Coturnix japonica: one gene and its partner. The protein of the gene in region 2 binds, or shares a complex with, the protein of the main gene of each other region. Links are inferred from orthologs where the notes say so. Each region holds a gene or a part of one and is shown on either strand. Other genes may lie near its edges. The genes, in order: UBE2G2 and AMFR.

Region 1 (2,882 bases), on a different chromosome or scaffold from region 2:
TGCTACTGGCTACCATTACACACCTTGTTAGCGTGAGTACTCTTTCAAGGAGAGGATTAAGCTTTCAGGGCAGGCTATTGCAGCATCCAAGTGGCAGCTTTACAAGCAGGAAGGCCGGGGTGTTCCCCAGCCACAAAGAACTGCCTGAGCATGGAAACTCTCAGTGCCAGCTGTGCTGAGCTCTGATTTGGGGGCACTGTCCAATTCCTCCTGAGAATCTCCAACTAATTGTCCTTCTCCAATCTGCCATCTGGTATCGGCGCACTCGGAACAATACACAGCAGCTCATGATTCACCTGTTGCCACAACAAGACGTTCCTAAGCCCAGAGCCTTAGATCACCACAAAACTTTTGTTAGAGGCAAACTGAGTCACATCTGCTGATTGCCAGATTTTTAGTGTTTTCTTTGAAATATCAACTGATTGCCATCACAACAAGATACTCGCCTGGAAAGCCCCAACAACTGCATCAAGTCTTCCAGATCTCTAAAGCATCCCCAGTGTTTTACTTGCATCACCACAAACTCTTCCACTCCGTTGGCCCACAATGAAACTGGACTCTTGACCGGCTGTTTCCCCCTTAAAAGCACTTACTGAAATACATTTGATTACTTTTATGAAAGGAAAAAATATATATAATCACTTTATTTTCAGAATACAGACTAAATCCCACCATAAAATAATGAGCAAACACACGTGAATGAAATACTCCGCACTTCAAAAGAGCCCCACTTTGCCACGTCTGCTGAACGTAGTGTTTGCTCTGCGGTGCACACAGCTCTCCAACAGCAGCTGAGGTAATTGCAGGAGCTATGCTTCATATATTACAACCCCCCAAACCACCCTTATTTTGCATACAGATGCTACGTTTTCCTGTACGCCTTGAAATACTAGTTAGGTACAATACTATCTTGTCATCTCTGCTCCCATGCTAAGCTGGGTCCCCTTCACACCCACCCACCAAAGTGACAGGAATTACTTCCACAGGGAATACAAGCAATACAAGCTCCGAATTCAAAGATGAGAAAGGTGGCACCCACCAATCTGCAGCCTGTGACTAAGCAGCATGTGCAGCATGATGGAAATACTGACAAGTTCAACACACACACATGCACACAATCTCCTCTGTAAAGCTTTCTGCACAGCACAGCTCCTTCCACTCCCAAGCTGCTCCTAGAAAAACAATAGACTCACTTGCAAAGCACAAAGGTCACCAGCAGCTCCTTAGCAGCTTCACAAAGCACTGCAGATTGTCATCTCCAGCCACCAGAAGTGGCCTACAGTGCTCTGCCATTTTAAATAAGCATCTTACCATCCAGAGAACACAGCCGAGTGACTCCTACTTATAGCATTCAGCATAAAGAAGCGTTACAGCCCATATTACAAAACCCATTGGTGGCAAAGGCTCCTTCATCTGAAAACTGGGTGACCTGGGCTGTGATGGTACAGGCCAGCAATGCTTCATTTTCTGAGCATCCAAATGGCTACAGGAGAGAAGAGCTGACGTAACTGCAGAGATATCTTACATTCCCCATGGAGCAGGAACAACCTCACTGCATTTTCAGGCTGCAGATGACATACCTAGGGCTCATAGTGAACCTGACCCACGTATTTAAGAACCCAGCCTTTACATCTTGCACCTCCAATTGAATGTAAAGCTTACACTGAATGTCTTTAGGGAGCAGTAAAGCAGTTCTTGGGCTTTCTTCCAAGCAAACCCTAACTCAAAGGCTCAGTACAAATTCACAGTGTAATGCAGGAGTACCAGCCAGCTGCTAGCAATGACCACATGGATCTTCAAGTTACACGGTGCTGAATCACTTCCTATGTTAAACCATTCTGGCTAAAACCCTGTCTTATAACTTTCTCTGGTTAACCAGTCTTCAGATCGGTTCTGACTGCAAACACTGTCCTTAACTTAGCTGGTATAATAAGACTGATAACTATTTTCTGTCTACTGGTGTTCCCAATGCAATGCTACCTATACCGATGTAAATCTAATTCCTCCAGCAGGAGATCTAACTCAGGGCTGTTCTCCAATAGCAGATTGACAGAAGCAGGCTGCAGATTGCAAAGTCTCCAAGCTTTCCATACCATGAAGTGAGGTAGCAACAAAGAGCCTTTGAAACAGCATTGCTCCCATTATTTTCCCTAGCAATAAATCCCTTCCCCATACGATTCAGTGAGTAAACTAGAGGCTTCTGTGCAGCAGCGGAAGCAGAAAAGAGATGGTAAATAAATAACAAAGGATAAGAACTAGATCGATAGTTTAGCAAAGTTTTCCTTTTTGGTACCAGCACTGAGCACTGCTCTTTTTCAGGTGGAGAGAAATACAAAACACTTCAGTCTTTTTGTGAGCTTAAAGTCCAAGTGACTTCTGCACAATCTGCTTGGCAATTCTGTTAAACTGTTCTCTGTCTTCTCGCCACATCTTGGAGGCATCTACATTGGCTCCGCTTTCATCGTTTGGCTCTGAAACGAAAGAGATGGAAAGGTCTGTGTGCATGCAGGGGACTGAGCAACATCGGCTCATTTCTTCAGCAGCGTCTCTGCACTGTCACTTCCCCGTGGCTCTGGTATACTTCCCCTGTATATACTTCCCCTGTTTGTGCTGTCAAACGTATGTAAAACTGCACAGTGCTCTCTGCTACGTATTTGTTCTGGTTCTGTGGCTTCACAAACACAAAGCCTCACAAAGCAGGCCACCCAAACAGGCTCTGCCCATCTTTTGGATGGTTTGTTCTATTAAAAACAAACCAAAAAACACAACAACTCGTCATTAAATGCTTTCATTTCTGCAATATCTTTCATCTGAGGATTTCAAAGTGCTTTACAAAGTACAATAAGACCCTGCAACTTCAACACTTCTTTTTGTATAGAGGT
Region 2 (3,414 bases):
ATCCAATCCCAATTTCATCCCCATTCCAGGAGGGAGACCCACTTTTTACACCATCTAGTAGTGATCAGACAAGGGGGAATGGCTTTAAACTAACAGAGGGGAGATGTGGGTGAGATGAGAGGAGGAAATCCTTCCCTCAGAGGGTGGTGAGGTACTGGTGCTGCTGCCCACAGAGCAGTGGGTGCCCCATCCATGGAGGTGCTCGGGACCGGGCTGGATGATGCTTTGGGCAGACTGAGCTGAGGGGGCATCCAGCCCACAGCAGGGTGGGCTTCAAGGTCTAACTCAAGCCATTCAATGATTATTATTCCCTAATTTCCATCTCATCCCTATTACTGTCCCGTTAGAGGACCCCAAGGGCTCATTTCTGTCTCTATCACCTCCACGTAATTCGCTCAGGGTGGGATTCAGCCCACGCGATCACCGCGGCCGGGCTCTGCGGGAGCGCCCAGCTGCGGGCACGGCCGCCCCCCAGCGGCTGCTCGGGGCACAGGAACGGCTGCGCTGCGGGACGGGGATGCGCGGGGATGCACTGCTGGAGCTGTGGGTGTCCCTGCTCAGTGCAGGGAGTGCGAGCAGACCCTGCAAGGTCCCATCCAACTCAAACCACTCTGTGATTCTGATTCCGCACCCCCCAGCCAAGCTCTGCCCGCTCCACACCCATCAGCTCTCATCCCCCCAGCCGGCTCTCCAACAGCCCCAAACCCATTTTATTTCCAGTCCCCCCACACATTGTTCCTCTTCCATCTCCCCCTTCACGCCACACTTGGATTCTCATCGTACAGGAACACACAGGACTCAGCAAACAATTTCCAACACTGATCAAGATTTTATTTCATTTCTTTAAACAGTAAAACCAAACAGCCGGGTTCTGAGCAAACCCCATCATCTCAAAAGAAAAACCCCTGGCAGTTCACACACAGCATCGCAAGGTAAGGCTGCCCAGAAAGGTTCACTGCAATCAATTACTCTCACCTAAACATCGAGGCCTTTCCTTAAACCCACCTTCAAACCTCCCTAAAGACCGACAGTAAAAAACAGATACCAATGATTCTAGATAATACTGGGCTCCTTCTAAAGGGCGGCGGAACAAGGATTCACTCATCAGGAATTAAACAAGTCACAGCTGTGTAAAATCCCACTCTGTAAGCTTAGCAGTGCTGGTTCCGGGTGTACGTGGGGTCAGAAATCCCTTAGAAAGATGCCGGGTGAGCAGATGGGGCTGCACAGTGCACAAGGGTCACCTGCCCTCCCGGTGCTTCTGTCTAATGGCAGAGCTGTGGGGTTAAAAATGACATAGAAAGCGTGATATCAGACATCAGAGCCAGCTCCAGCCTTCAAGTCCGTGCTGCTCCGCAGTCCAAAACAGGTGGGCTCCTCAATGGGACTCCATCAGCTTTTTAACACCGAATTCTGGGGGCTGCAGCCTCCCCTGTGCCCCCCCCAATTCTCCACTCTGCTCCTCCCCGCTTCTCACTTCTTTCTGGCTCTAAAAGGAAGATAGCGCAGCCCTGGGGAGCGAGCAGAACTACAGGCCAAGTGCCAAGAGCCCAGCAACGGTGAGCAAAGTGCTGTATGCATCGCTGTGAATCAGAGCAGCACTGCACAATTAGCAACTCCATTTTTTCCTATGTTGCGTTGCCAGACAGCTTCCACCCGCCTACAAACGGGCTTCCCAGCAGCACCGCAGCCAACCGACGCAGCTCCTTCACTCGGGAGGTGAGCAGGGAGCAGCTGCTCCTCTAACACAGGGTTTGCTGCCAACCCCTGCGCTTCCTTCCCCTCTTGCAGCCATGCCCTCCGACCTGCACCCACAGCTGCTCAATTCCAACTCATCTCCCTCAGCTTCCGTTGTGCAGTCAGGCCAACGCCTCGTGCAAAGAGAAATCGCACTGGTGGTTCAGATTGCTTTTGTCTGTGGAGGGGATCAACATCACATAGAAAACATTACAAAAAAGGTTAATTTGTCAGCTGTCCAAACATGATTAGACCACATGCTTTATACAGCAGAGCGGCAGCCAGCTCACTCGGCAGCGCTCAACTCTGAAGTGACACTTTCCTGCTGGTATAGAAATGCAGGGGTTTTGTGTTTCATTTCTTTTATTCAACATTGCTCACGAGGAGGAGGAAGGAGGAGCAGTGAGCGCTATGAGTTCTGCTGCATCTGCAGTCTCCGCTCGGCGGCGGCTGCCAGCGTCCTGCGGCGCAGCGTGACTGGGTCAGCGGAGGTTCCCTCGGGCACTGAGGGCTTCTCTGTGCTCAGATCTTCATCTGAGGTCTTGTTCAAGTAACGCCTGCAAGAGGAGAAAAGGGAGATGAGTGAGAGCAGCCCAATCTGTTTGGCTCCAGAAAACAGTCGGTGCTTTCAGGAAACAAGGCAGGAGCTGAAGCGCATCCAAAGCTAGAAAATACTTTGCATGGACACACTAATGATGCACTCAGACTCTGAGACCTGAGGTGAGTTACTGACTGGGTCCCACCACTGCACCATGCTGAAGTGCAGGCAGAACCTGCAGCTCCCTCCATGAGGACAGGGAAGGCGCTGACAGGTGGGCACTGGGGCTGCAAAGTGCCATATCTACATTCAATACTAGTTGAGCTGGGAGTAAGAGTTGGCCACGCTCACTTTGGCAGTGCTGACCTGCTCATCAGAAGCTCTTCTGGTCTGTCAGCCCTACGCAGCTCAATACCTGCTCTTGTTCTGTATTTGGAAAGTGGTGACCGACAGTGAGCTCAGCTGCAGCAGCACACAGCACAGGCTGACACCCAGGCAGGCAGGTTGGCTAGAAGTGTACTAGGAGTCTCAGCACAAGCAGTATTTCCTCACTTACTAGAAGCTGAATCTAAAGCTCACTGAAGCTGGAAAAATCACCCTATGAGCTCTGATCCACCAATTGAGAGGCTGTGTGCACGCTGCAACACAAGACGCTGTTTCAGAACTGGGTTTATCAGAGGCACAGGTCTGTCTTAAAGAGCACCTGAGCGTGTTGCAGCAATGTATTCATCCCTCCTAATACTCTTTGCACCACCCCAGTCTTTCAGTCATAATCCATGTAACAGCCATTCTGGGAGATTAAAACCGAGTGGCCAGGCTGCAGCTGTAGGAAGGAACATACTTTCGAGCTTGCTGCAACAAGTCCTCCTTCCGCTGAACCAACATGCGCTGCCTCTCATCAGCTGACTTGGAAAAGCGACTTCCCCTGGCCTCAAAATCTTCTGCTTCACTGGGTTCTGCCTCCACTTCGCTCAGTTCTCCCATTTCTTCCAGTCTTGAGTTGAGTTCCAGTGGCACTCTTTTGGTCTAAGAGAAAAAATGGGGAAGTTAGGAAAAGAGGGAGTTTTCTTTTTCAGTTAAACATCTCAAGTCTGTGCAAAATTTGCCACCAGGGCTTCTTCACATCAAACTAACAAGCT

Evidence for each region.
Region 1: the proteins of AMFR (region 2) and UBE2G2 are in contact, whole or in part, in an NMR structure (PDB 2LXP), measured with the Homo sapiens proteins. The link is inferred for Coturnix japonica from reciprocal best matches to the Homo sapiens genes AMFR and UBE2G2. Residues at the interface, in NP_001135.3 of Homo sapiens: Ser574, Ala575, Arg578, Gln579, Met581, Leu582, Arg585, Lys586, Leu589, Leu590, Ala593, Arg594, Arg596, Phe597, Leu598, Lys600; in NP_003334.2 of Homo sapiens: Tyr13, Leu16, Thr17, Pro20, Gly23, Ile24, Val25, Ala26, Gly27, Pro28, Met29, Asn30, Glu31, Glu38, Leu40, Met42, Glu45, Glu50, Phe51, Val53, Val159, Gln160, Leu163, Gly164, Leu165.

What each region holds. Positions count from the first base shown.
Region 1 is NC_029524.1:4,000,029-4,002,910, reverse strand, and holds the end of UBE2G2 (ubiquitin-conjugating enzyme E2 G2), read right to left. Parts: exon of another isoform or gene 2,773-2,882; intron 2,472-2,772; coding exon 2,359-2,471; 3' UTR 608-2,358; downstream 1-607. UniProt on the Homo sapiens protein: Accepts ubiquitin from the E1 complex and catalyzes its covalent attachment to other proteins. In vitro catalyzes 'Lys-48'-linked polyubiquitination. Involved in endoplasmic reticulum-associated degradation (ERAD).
Region 2 is NC_029526.1:500,237-503,650, forward strand, and holds the end of AMFR (E3 ubiquitin-protein ligase AMFR), read right to left. Parts: intron 3,302-3,414; coding exon 3,117-3,301; intron 2,295-3,116; coding exon 2,147-2,294; 3' UTR 807-2,146; downstream 1-806. UniProt on the Homo sapiens protein: E3 ubiquitin-protein ligase that mediates the polyubiquitination of lysine and cysteine residues on target proteins, such as CD3D, CYP3A4, CFTR, INSIG1, SOAT2/ACAT2 and APOB for proteasomal degradation.